Linked DNA regions of Danio rerio. The protein of the gene in region 1 purifies or fractionates together with the protein of each later gene. This does not show direct contact. Links are inferred from orthologs where the notes say so. Each region holds a gene or a part of one and is shown on either strand. Other genes may lie near its edges.

Region 1 (7,200 bases):
AAAACCAACAACTCCAGGGTTTTTTTCTACCTGCTTGATCAGACCAGTGGTTCAGATTTTCACTGGCCCTGCCAAAAAAAGTACTAAATAGCTATTTCTTAGCCACATACTTTAAATAATGTATCAAAAGCCAAGTATAATTGTATACATACACTTTTTATTCATTCATTTATTCTATTGAATTAATCTATTTTAAAAAATGTTGGCTGGAATTATGCATTATAGGCTTAAATTATAGAGAGAAATAACAGATGAACCGGTGTTGTGTTAAGAAACGCACCCTGCTGTAAATTGTACCCCCTCTGAAATTAGCATATATTACCCTAAATTGATTTAAACTAGTAATAGAGTTATGACATCTAATGACAGTGACTGAAGTAAGGTCCATGAATTGAATCCTTACCTTACAGAAGATATATATTTAAATCAATAAATAGATTAAATTTAAAATACTGTTTTAATCAATTATGGCCTTCATTTTTTATTTTTTTTATGTAGACTGATTATACTAATAAAAGTCTATAAAGGAGGTGCGTGCATTTTACCACAGGGTTGCATTTCTCTCCACAACACCAGAACTGCAGTCAGATCATGAAGCAGATCAATGTTAATTTTTCTTTCGAGACGTCAGTGCAGAAATGAACAAAACAATAGGCCTAATACAAAATATTATAAGATTAAAATATGGATTATAAGAAGGTAATTTCGCACATTTTCCTAACTGATAAACAGCACTCGATAATATTTAAGCATGCTTTCACTGTCGTATTCCACATAAAACGCACATTTATCATTCCACCGTACTCATAATTCTCTCTTCATATGGCTGTTACTCAACAATAATACACTGTGATATAGCCTGGTTTGTCAGTTTGTTGGATCATTTTGTTTTCCCACTACAATCGATCCGCTCCAGTTCGTTTTAACTTACTGGGCAAAACAAACGTCTGGGCGTGAAAGCACCCTGTATTTGCATGCAATTGACAAACAGTCGCAACCAAATTAAACTTTAGTGACACGGCAGCACTAAACCATACTGCTAACTGTCTCGAGTGTCTCGCACACTGGCCCCAGGCCATCGGGCAGTCCTTAATTTCGAGCTCTGAACTCACTGACTGCAGTGATGTATACTAGGCATATACCATCAAAGTCTTTAGCCCCTTTCACACATTCAGACTTTTCCGGAAAATTACCGGCTTTTTGAAAATACCGGTAAATTCGTTCTGGCTATTTTCCGGAAAGAGAAGTTGTAACATTACCGGTAATTTGCCGGAATGCTGCGCTGTGTGAATGCAGAAGGAAGATTGCCGGAAAGAGCGCGTGCATGTCTAGAACATGCTGACGTGAGACACCTGCTTTAGCCAATCAGAACAGTCAGACGCATTCACGTGCGCGATTTATGAGAATAAGAGCCTTTGAATATTTTTCCAGACACCTTTAGCTCCTAGATGTTAGTCAGATAACGTTTCTATGTTCCTTCTTAATGCTAACTGTGTAAATAATTATCGATAAAATGTTTATAGTAATTCGTTGTTTGTTTACCTTCAAGCTTTGCGTGTGCCTGTGAGCCCCCATAGCGCCAGCACACACACATATCATGAACATCTCGACATGCGAAAGTGTTCCTCTATATGTTTTCATTGGAGTTGTACTCAATACTGATCCATCCAAAGAGTTTTAATGTAGTCAAATGTTTACAAACACAAGCGCAGCCGTTTAGAGGTCATTTCTGGTTAATGATGTCAGAATTTACCGGTATTTTGGAATGGATGTGTGAATGCTCTTTTCCTCGCCTGTGTGAACAGCGCTTTTTTGAATTTACCGGTAAAGTCGTTCCGGAAATTTTCCGGATATTTACCGGTATCACTGTGTGAAAGGGGTTATTGGCTGACAGTTTCCAACTTTCTTCTGAATATCAGCTTTTGTGTTCAACAAGAAAATTAATTCCAATATGATGACAGCATTTTCATTCTTGGGAGATCAATCCTTATTAGTTTTGAAGATGATAAATATCATGATCTTTTTTCCCTCCCTCAGATCCCTCATTTCCCTGTGTACACTCGTTCTGGTGAGGTGACCATCTCCATTGAGCTGCAGAAGTCGGGCTTTAGTCTAAGTGCGGAGCAGCTGGAGCTGATCACACGTCTGCATCAGTACATCTTCTCCCACATCCTCCGTCTGGAAAAGCCAGCACTAGAGTTTAAGCCTGTAGAGGCAGATTCTGCCTACTGTGTTCTACCTCTCAACATCGGTGAGTGTCGCAGTCTTGTCTGAGATTAAAGTTAATCATTAGTTTATTATATTTTTAGTTTTTTTAGGATTATTTAGACCTGCAACAAATCTGTCAAATATTTGTTTTATTATTTGGACAAAAAGCCAGTGTTTTTGTTCTGTCATTTATTGAGCAAGCATGTGCGTTCCAGATCTTATCCATTTTTCCATTTAAAATGTCAGATGCTCTTCATTTAGCAATAGAGACTAATTAATATTACAAAACATCTGTTTATTTTTATTTGTTTCATTATTTATTGCAGCTAGTGATGGCAATATTGGGACTTTTATTTTGAGAGCTGATTATTTTTAGCTATTGTATTCAAATAAACTATATTTTAATACTTATAATCAGGGTATCCACGGGGTCGTAAAGTTTTAAAATGTCTTAAATCTCAAAAGCAAAATTTTAGGCCTTAAAGTCTTAAATTCACTGAAATATTGTGTTGTAGGTCTTCAATCTTTTTTTTTTAACAGGTCTTAATTTTCCTTTGTTCAATGTTCAAGAGTCCATCCAATAAAATATCTTTACAGTAACATTTGTTTAATAATCCTCTATTTATTTACTGCTGAGGATACTGACCTGACCTATATTTTTGTATTATTAAGTTATTAATATTATTGACTGAAGTAGTTGACAGATTTGTTTTGTTCTTTTCTTGGTAAGGGTTATCGAGTTTGTGAATGGATATATTTGAAAATTGTTGTAAAAAAATTTCAAACTAAATTATAGAAAATCTTCTCTAACTGGGATATTGAAAAAAACCCTTAGCATTTAGCCCTGTATAAGTCTAATTAGTCATAATTTTTGTTGTTATTTTTTTTTTATTAACAGATTTGTTAATATTATTTGTTATTAACAGATCATTTTGTCTGACTTTAAAGTGGCACACAAGGGTTAAAATATTTTTTAAATAATATAGTTTTAGCCCTCCTTTTAATTTTTTTCATTTTCAAATATTTGCCAAATGATGGAAATTAGCCATAGCAAGGACATTGTCACAGTATGTCTGATAATATTTTTTTTCTTCTGGAGAAAGTCTTATTTGTTTTATTTCAGCTAGAATAAAAGCAGTTTTTAATTTTTCTAATACCATTTTAAGGTCAAAATTGTTGTCCCCTTTAAGCAAATTTTATTTGATAGTCCACAGAACAAACTATCGTTATACAATAGCTTACCTAATTACCCTTAACTGCCTAGTTAACCTAATTAACCTAGTTAAGCCTTTAAATGTCATTTAAGCTGTATAGAAGTGTCTTGAAAAATATATAGTAAAATATTATGTTCTGTCATCATGGCAAAGATAAAATAAATTAATTATTAGAGATGAGTTATTAAAACTATTATGTTTATAATGTGTTGAAAAAAATCTTCTCTCCTTTAAATAGAAATTGGGGAAAAAAAATAAACGGGGTGGCAAATAATTCAGGGGGGCTAATAATTCTGATTTCAACTGTATATCAGCCATCGGCTACCCCTACTTCGCAATACACTGGCTGTATAAGCTGTATTCAAGCATTTGTTTCAGTGATATTCCAATTTTTTTTATAACTGGTGTTCTTTTCAGTTGAGGATTCCAATACTTTGGATCTGGATTTCAAGTTCATGGAGGATATTGAAAAGTCTGAAGCACGCATTGGCATTCCAAACACTCAGTACACCAAGCAAAACCCATTCATCTTCAAATTGGAGGACTACCAGGATGCTGTCATCATTCCAAGGTACAAAACATACTCGAGTCTTATTGCTGTTGTAATTAAGCAGTCATTGATGATTTATACTGTGCTTTTGTTTTCGCTCAAGTTGAACCATGGCCTCCTTTCTCATTTTCCTCCTCTCAGGTATCGTAATTTTGACCAGCCGCATCGGTTCTACGTGGCTGACGTTTACACAGACCTCACCCCGCTCAGTAAATTCCCCTCTCCAGAGTACGAGACTTTTGCCGAATACTATAAAACCAAGTACAACCTGGACCTGTCAAATGTTAATCAGCCCCTACTGGATGTGGACCACACATCTTCAAGGTAGGAAGGAAAAATTAAAAAATACTTCATGGTATGTGTTTTTCTTTTTTTATAAACCCCCAAAAATTCATTACATGTCCATGGTGGTCTTTTCCTGTAGATTGAATCTTTTAACTCCCCGGCACCTTAATCAAAAGGGGAAAGCCCTTCCTCTCAGCAGTGCGGAGAAGAGAAAGGCCAAGTGGGAAAGCCTACAAAACAAACAGGTATTAACTGTCGGAAAGAATTTGCGGTGATAATTATGAGCCATCATACCTGAATTAAGTGTAATCACGCTGAATAAATGAGTGCTTCCTCCCAGTGAGAGTGGTAATGGTCGAACAAAGGTTTGATTCATATCAGATAACTTTTTTTGGTTTGTATTTTTGGTCTATCTTCTTAGATTTTAGTTCCGGAGCTCTGTGCCATTCACCCCATCCCAGCCTCTTTGTGGAGGAAAGCCGTCTGCCTTCCCAGCATTCTCTACAGACTTCACTGCCTTCTGACGGCCGAAGAGCTGCGGTCTCAGACAGCCATCGATGCTGGCGTAGGGGCTCAGACCTTGCCTCCTGATTTCAGGTCAATTAAAAAAAACATTACACTTATTCCTGCTTCCAAACCCTAGTATACTTGTGGCCTGTTTCCACTGAGTGGTACAGTACGGTACAGTATGGGTCACCTTCATCAGGCTTGCATTCCCACTGCCTAAAGGGTATTTAAAAATGGCGCTTTTTTTGTGTTTATTATCCTGCTTGTATATGCACTAGTGACATTTCTCTGTAAACCAATAGCATTCAGCTCCGCCTTTTGGTACCCTTTTGTTGTGCTAGGTACCCTTTTAAAAGGGTACCCAAAAAGTGGTACGGTACGGTTCACTTTATGGTACTTTTTGACAGTGGAATTTAGTTTGATTGAGTAACTATTATAGTTTTTATAAAGTGTTGTTTATATTATGAAATGGGAGATTTTAATGATTTTGCTGGAGAAGAGCAACGGTTGTGCTTTGTAAATATTTTCATTCGCAAAACAGAACAAATGATAAATGAAAAGATGATCACTTTCAGTGTTGCAGCTAACATGTAATTTTATATAGTTCTTTTTGTTTATTGATAAAATCTCTTTTAATGTTTGTGCCGACACTAGGCATGGGCGGTTGTAAGACTTTGACAGTATGATAACCTTGGATAAAAATATCACCGTGTGATTACTGCTCCAAATTAGGTTCCTTTTAAATGTCTGGGTAAAAAGCAACATTTAAAATATTTTGGATCAGTAGCTTAGTAGAGTTTTTTTTTTTGCTGGAGACACTGTTTTCCTTAGGAACGATATAACAGAATAATTGTTCAATTTAACAACATAAAAACGGTGGACCAATTAGAGCGGTTTTGAGACCAACTGCAACTTGACATAGGAGTGCAGTCCCCCCGCCCACCTAATTGATTGACAGTTGCGTATAAACTTGTCTTCGTAGTGCAGTATAATTAAATCAACTAGACAGGATGTGCGTAAAGCAACCGGGAATAAAAGGTCTGTCCAGTTTGCTTGGATCATCAATCATCATCAAATGTGATCAAGAGTGAGTTTTACAAGTTTAAAATGTTTTCAAACAGTGCATGTGTGTAATGAATTACAGCGATTCACTTCAGATTCACTTCATCAGCACACCCACGTATCTGAACAATTATAAAAGAAGAGGCTTCAATCGTGGTTTGTGGACGTTAAATCAGGTTTATTTTGTACATTAACATAACAGATGTCCATACAGCAGTGGAGATTAAACTGCGTCCTGTCAAATTTGTGTGCAAAAACAGTGCAAAGCTAAATGCGCGCGCTGTGTGTGTGTGTGTGTGTGTGTGTGTGTGCGTGTGTGAACTTTGTAACGACATTGTGTGTGTCTCATCGTTGCAACTCAACAACAGATGCATCGAATACTCGTTGATAAAGTTCTGACTTATTTCTCACAAATGTTACGTGAGATCTTCTTCATCTCTCTTGTCTGTTGTCTGAGGCAGCCAAGGGCGGAGACTGAGGCACGCTGACAGGCATGTGGCAATGGTAGGCGGAAAGACTAGCCTTAAAGGCCCATTACATAAAAACAGCAGCAAGCTGTTTAGAGCTATAAAAATACAAACTACTGAAAGCTATTATAAATAATCTGATGTGGGTTTGGAGCTGAAACTTCACAGATTCTTTTTTAATTCCGGAAAAAGGGGTAACCTAGGTGCCCTTTAAATACATTTTCATTTAGTCATTTAGCAGATGCTTTTGTTCAAATCGACCTTTCAATTCAGCGATTCAACAAAAAGAGGCAATACACACAAGAAGTGCTAATTATACAAAGCAAGAAGTTTGTGCTCAGAAAATTTAGGCAGGGTTTTGTTTTTTGTTTTTTCACACTTATAAATGCACAATGTTTTTTTGTGCAATGTTGTTTTTTTGTTGTTGTTGTTATGGAATGATTGTAAAAATGTGTCTGGTGCAAATGAGCAAAAACTGGTTCAAATGTTGGTTAAAGTGTCAGAGAGATGGTAGTAGGGATTCTCCGATGATATCTCGCCTTACCTAAAATAATCAAATTGGGATGTAGCATTCATGTAATGGACAGAAGCAGCTTTACGGAAAAAATTAAATAAATAAAACAGACAAAAATGGTAAGAAAATGAATAACAGTGCAATTTGGAAACATTGCTCATGTGTTGTTGCGCTGCCAATGCATAACCCGGGCGTGCACGTGCATCTTTCTCTGCTTGTAAACTCACAAACAAACACTTGCGATCGGTTCATGGGATCGGCCAGATTAACAAGTATCGATCGAGTCATGAAATGTACTGATCTCCAGCCGATTAATCGGAGCATTCCTAGATGAAAGTGTGTTTTCTACAGGTAGTTTGTTAAGCCTGTCACCTGTTCGAGGCACACTCAGAA
Region 2 (6,412 bases), on another chromosome or scaffold:
GACAATAGTGAAATATTTAAATTATTAACAAAACATCAAAAGGTTTTTATTTGCATTTTAAAAACAGAACTTTTAGCGACTAATTTGAATCTTTTGTTTGTTATGGATAAAATATGGTAATTTCTAATTGTTTACAAAATTTTGGGATTAATCACCAAGCAACCCCCTCCTCCAGGGGTCCCAAACACCACTTTAATCCAACATGCTTTCATAAATCAATCCAGAAGTCTTCATAAATAAAATAACTGCTGATGAATTACTAACCCACGTGATCTCAGAAGATCCTGACAAACTCTGCAGTTTGGCGATCATGTTTTCAGCAGCTGCTCGTCTGGCCAGCTTTTTGGAGCTGCCGGATCCTGATGAGCCAAAAAAAAAGCAGATAATAAAGCATCAGTGGAGAAATCAGCACGATATCTGCACATGAATAACAGCAGTTGGCAATATACAGTTGAAGTCAGAATTATTAGCCCTCCTGAACTATTAGCCCCCTGTTTATTTTATTCCCCAATTTCTGTTTACCTCAGACCCAACCCCCCACAACACATTTCTAAACATAATAGATTTTATATCTCATTACTAATAACTGAGATCTTTTGTAAAGTATCAAAATCTTGATGGTTCTGTGGGTCTCGTCTGCAAAATCTGAGCTTTATTTTGTATTCTCTATTGGATTCAGATCAGGGGATTGGTTGGGCCATTCTGCAGCTTGATTCTCTTTCTCTGAAAGCATCTGAGAGTCTCCTTGGCTGTGTTTTGGGATCATTATCTTGCTGAAATGTCCACCCTGGGTTCATCTTCATCCTCCTGCTGATGCAGATGTTGGACTGAAGCAGCTGATGTTCATTTACATTGAGGAAGGGCAGAGGCTTGCTGAAGAACCACTGAGAGATTTCAGCTGCTGTCTGGGCTTTCACTGCCGAACTACACCTCCCTTTTTTCATGTGTTCAATACTCCTCCCCTGCGTCATTTTATTTTATTACACAGAACTTCAATTCTAAACGAATCAGTTTTGTTTTCTTTGCATATATGGATTTCTTTGGTTGCTACCAACATCTGGGGAACATTTCAAGTCAACAGCACATTTAGAAATGTGTTTTCTGAGAAAAACAGTGATTTGTTCAATACATATTTCCCCCACTGTATTGTATGTACAGCCCCAGACGTCACCTGTTTCCTCCAGTCCCTCCAGACGGCAGGCGATGGTGAACTCCTTCATGTGTCCCGGCCCAGTCTCCATAAACACAACATACTCGGGCAGACACCACACTCTCTGCATGGCCAGCTCCTGAAAGAGTGAGCAGATTAGATGACAAACACATACTGAATGCAAGGGTTGCGAATTAGCATGGTGATTCTGTTGAAAAAAAAAACACCAAAATAAACAAGAAAAGAAAAAAAAGTCCAGATAAAATACCTCGCGCACACACACTACTGTAAGAAAATATCTGAATTCGGAACATACTTTCAGTGTTTTCTTTGCTTGAACTGAGCCGATCTAATCCTGTTTATATGAATTGAACCTGCTCCTGATCAGGTTTGAGCTAGCAGAACTGTTGCTATGACAACAACTCTCGAATGAGCTTTGAAGAACGAAACGATCCTGGATCGTGTCAAATCATCAATATCCAAATCCAGCTGAGTAATCCACGTACGAAGAACAGACCCCAGAAGTCTATGACTCTTTTGAATTATTTAACCTGACATGTTTACTGCTCCAAAATATTTTAAATCTTTCACAAAATAAAATATTCTGTGTTCAAAGAGGAAACAAGTTTTTGTTTTTTTACACAGACATTTAAAAATAACTTATTTTAGAGGAGTAATTACAACACTGTGATACCGTAAAACCATAATATTTTTATCCAAGGTCAGATTCCTTGTGGGCCCACTAATAACTAACTTTAAATAATAAGTTAATTTATTTCCTTCATGTTATTCAAACACAAATCCATTGTGTAAAACCCAGTATTATTTACATGTGTGTGTGTGTGTGTGTAGTTCTTAGATACCTGCAGTATTCCCACAGGATTGGACGCTTCTCCGGCTTCAGGAGATAGACCATTGTTGTCTCTCTGGTCTCTATTAAAAATTCAGAACATCTGGATTAGTTTTAACCCATTTAATCAATCTATAATAGTTTATAAGCCCATCTGCTGTATGCATGTATGGGTGTGTGTGTGCTGTGCATTACATTATCTGACTGTCTCGCTTCAGCAACTTCAAGGCGGCTTCTGCAGCTTCATGCTTCGCGGCCTTTTTTGTGGATCCTCGGCCTTCACAAGCAAAACAACGGCGCATTAGAAGACTGTCGTGCATTGTGTAATTAGTACATGCGTTTAGTAGTATTTCTAATAAATAAGAGATGTGTAGATGACGTCACCTTTGCATGTGACCTCTCCTATGGTGACGCTGAACATGAAGGAAGGCTGATGCGCGTCCCCGTCCGCGTGAATGAGCTCGTATTTCGGCGCGCTGCTGATTTTAATGCCATATTCGTGCAGGAGCTGGATCGGTGTTTTGTCCTGACTGCGTTGGGGAGCCATTGTGACACTGAGGCGACAATAAAGAGCGTACAACCGAGTGAAAAGAGCTAAGCTAGCACACGAGCAGCTTAAAACATCACATACACAACGCAGATACTAAGAATATGACACTCCATCATATTATAGCATACTAAACAGTGTGTAACGACACTGTGTTATACTTTATAACAAACAGAACGACACATTTATTATAATATGTAACGTTAGCATGCAAAACGACACTCCATTATAGTATAGCACACAATACAATGCAGCCTGCCTCTGTGCACTAGTCAAAGTAAATCCGAGATTGATGTGAGCACGAACAGTTACACACGCGTTAAACAGACACTTACATGTTGCGATATAATAATTGTCTCGTATATATACAAAAGGAAAAGCCTGTATTATCAATTTTACGAGCTCTTACTTTGAATCAGCCATTACTTCTGCCCGTCTGCCGCTTTTTAATAGATTGACAATCGCATTGGCCAATTGTATTGCTCTATACTGGCTGTAAGCCCCGCCCTCCACAACAGCGGTAAAGTCTAGATGGGATACAGCCGCGGAAACTTACATCAATATAGCATGATTTTTGTAACACTTTACAATAATAGTTCATATTTTTACACTATTATGAGGGTTGGTGTTGAAGAAAGTGTTAGTAAAGTACAATTTGACGGGTAATTTATTAAATAGGATGAATAATAATCGGTTTAATTACTGTTTTTACATTAATGTGGTGCTTGGGATTATAGTTGGGGTAGGAGTAGAGGTTAAAAATATATAATTAATTGGTAATTTAATAAGTATTATAAATAACGTCCGGCCGCTGCTGTATCTCTTCTATCGCGCTATAGCCCCTCCCTTCAATGGAAGCCGGCATGGTTTTAGCCTTTCTCAATTGTGGAGGAAGACTGTAATGTGCTTCTTTTGCAATGTCAATCAATTTCTGAGATGCCTAAGTGTGCGAAACTGATTTAGAAAGCTTTGTGTTAATATTTAACACGCTTTGTATCACGTAAGTGAACTGCATTTTGAGATTATTAATGTTTTATATGAGATCGCAGATGATTTTACGACAGGTGCGATATTTTGCGGCACAGCCTGCCTCACTGCGTTCCATTCGAAAAGGCTCATCCCTGTGCCCTAGGGACAACTTTGAAGGGTGTGTAGGGGTCATAAATGCTTCCCTTTTTAATTCACTTCTGAGTCATCATCATGACGAGGTGAAGGTCGCACTTTTTGTGCTCTACTGACACCCACAAAACACGAACATTTATATTTATTCTTGTTTGTCCATAACGTTCATTCAATTATTTTTCATTCAGGTTAGTCCCTTCATGAATCAGGGGCCGCCACAGCGGAATGAACCACCAATTTATCCAGCATATATTTTATGCAGCAGATGCCCTTCCAGCTGCAACCCAACACTGGGAAACACCCACACACTCTTGCACACACTCATACACTACAGCCAGTTTAGCTTATTCAATTCCCCTATAGCGCATGTGTTTGGACTGTGAGGGAAACCGAAGCACCCAGAGGAAACCCACGCCAACACCGGGAGAACATGCAAACTCCACACAGAAACACCAACTGACCCAGCCGGGGCTAGAACCAGCGATCTTCTAGCTATGAGGAAATACTTACATTTATAAGTAAAGTCAAACTCCGAGCCTCCAGTTGTGTGCATTTTATTCATTTAATGATAAAAAAAATGGGTTACAACATAAAAAAATAAATAAAATTAAAAAATACATTATTTTACAGCCTTAAAATATATATTTAGAGTCATTTTTCATTTGCAGATATGTAATGTTTGATACTTTAAAGGGCACCTATTATGCAAAAATCCCTTTTAAGGCCCGTGCACAGCGGTACGCTTTTCGCTCACGTTTTCCGTCAACGTTTACCACCTCGTGACTAAATAAACGGTGCTATTGTGGTTGTGCACACCAACGGCAGACGTAAAAGCTTTATTTTTTAAGAAACGCCTCATGCTAATTTTTTTGTTTTGACGCACCGCGCCATAACCTTCTCCACCAATCAGATTGGCACTTTTGTTCACGTGCACAGAGCTTCTGAAGTTACCGTAAACAGCACTTGGAGGCGCTCAAGTGCAAAACTTTCAGGCTGCGTCCGAATTTAAACGAATATGTATTTGTAAATGTACTACTCGGCCGTTAGAAAAGTGGGTTCTATACAGTATGAATGTGAAAAGTATGAATGGAATTCGGATGTACTACATCCGCCATTTTATCATGGTCACGTGACCTACCTGTGTCAGTTGCGTCGTTTCACTTGCATTCATATATTCTCTCGCGGGGCATCATGGGACAGCGCAGCGTGCATAGGATGTGCACTACAAAATCTCGCCAGAAGTAGTAAGTCATCCGGGTATTTCTCGCATACTGATTTTCAAATTGTATGAATTCGGACATACTACTCGGCTCGCATACTGATTTTAGCATACTATATAGTATGAAAGTATGCGGTTTCGGACGCAGCCTCAGTGACTACTAGCGAACGGGATGTGATAAGAGGGCCCCGCCCCCCTCCGTATGTGATCTCCTTATCCGCTTGTTAAGTGGTGACGTGTTTGTGACGCATGTAATACTGTTTCCTAGTCCAAGCCGCCATTCATTTGCGTGAAGAAATCATTCGTTTATGATCACGTTTTATTCCTATCACACATTAAAGTTAATTTTATATAAAATCATAGTGTATACAACAATCTCTGGGCTTGCTGCATAACAAATACCAAAAATTTAACATTTTATAAAAAAAAATGAATCACTTTCTGGCCATCGCATATTAGGCATGGGCATATATGTTGCGATCGTGATCTTCGAAAGTATTAAATCGCTTTGTGAACGTTTATTATTACTATTTTATGAGTCAGTTGAATAGAGCGCTTAGACCCGGAAGCCGCTTCGCGTGACGTCAGACTAAACAAGCGGATGGCCATTAGATATTAGAACCATTACAACAATCGTTACAACGAACGATACCAGTACCACGCGGCTAATTCACCTCTTATTATTAAAAACATTTCCTCAGTCTTTATATATGTGCATTTTTTTAACTCATGAGTAAAAAATAATGTGGCCAACATACACTATACTGCCAAAATATTGGGTGAAATTCAACAATTGTACTATTAAAAAAAATTGAGTAGTTTCCAGTGTGTTACAGTTAAAAACGCAAAGAAAGTCAAATATTTTACAGTAAACTATTGTATTTTAATCATTAAGTGTTAATAGACCAGTGTTTTAAAGCACACATCGTATCCTTTATTACACACACAAAAACACAACCATATGGTGATGAGAAAGTCATATGATAAGCTTTTATTTAACAGGTTTCCCACAAGCATGCTAATATAGAAGACGCTCATTGCCAATCACACAATTGCCAAACAGCATCATAACAACACATAACACTAAAGTAATGCAATAAACTTGATTTATTAACAATATATGTAATATAACAAAGAAAGAAAACCTTAAAAATAAGCACAGAATTCGCAGAGAATTCTGCGAAAGTCAATGTACAGTTATTTACAGTATATATTAAGGACACGTACTGTGCTGTAGGGTTTCTACAGTTTTAAAGTGAAATCAGGGACATTTTTTACAGTGTACTGTGACGCCCCATTCACACGGGGCGTCAGTGTCAATGCTTCCCATTCACTTTGAATGGGTGACGTCAGGCGTTGCTGAACTGCATTGTGGATCCGTCGGCGCCGCTTCAGAGGCGTTGCTCGCTGCAGAAGTTGGAACTAGCTCAGCTTTTCAAGCGCCGATGGAAGCGTCAGCCAATCAGATCGCTGTATGCAAATACACCAGCTAGACAGTGGCCTATTGCTGACTGAATTTCATTG

What was found. Proteins that work in one complex are often made in the same cells at the same time.
Region 2: the proteins of dicer1 (region 1) and prkra purify together in Homo sapiens (co-immunoprecipitation; 4 studies listed by BioGRID and IntAct, with this or other methods). This does not show direct contact. The link is inferred for Danio rerio from reciprocal best matches to the Homo sapiens genes DICER1 and PRKRA.

Annotation. Positions count from the first base shown.
Region 1 is NC_133192.1:20,720,979-20,728,178, reverse strand, and holds part of dicer1 (endoribonuclease Dicer), read left to right. Parts: intron 1-2,037; coding exon 2,038-2,251; intron 2,252-3,839; coding exon 3,840-3,993; intron 3,994-4,113; coding exon 4,114-4,296; intron 4,297-4,396; coding exon 4,397-4,502; intron 4,503-4,678; coding exon 4,679-4,854; intron 4,855-7,200. UniProt on the Homo sapiens protein: Double-stranded RNA (dsRNA) endoribonuclease playing a central role in short dsRNA-mediated post-transcriptional gene silencing.
Region 2 is NC_133184.1:1,352,971-1,359,382, reverse strand, and holds the start of prkra (interferon-inducible double-stranded RNA-dependent protein kinase activator A homolog), read right to left. Parts: upstream 3,007-6,412; 5' UTR 2,971-3,006; coding exon 2,957-2,970; exon of another isoform or gene 2,883-2,956; intron 2,555-2,882; coding exon 2,385-2,554; intron 2,278-2,384; coding exon 2,196-2,277; intron 2,084-2,195; coding exon 2,014-2,083; intron 1,290-2,013; coding exon 1,172-1,289; intron 360-1,171; coding exon 265-359; intron 1-264. UniProt on the Homo sapiens protein: Activates EIF2AK2/PKR in the absence of double-stranded RNA (dsRNA), leading to phosphorylation of EIF2S1/EFI2-alpha and inhibition of translation and induction of apoptosis.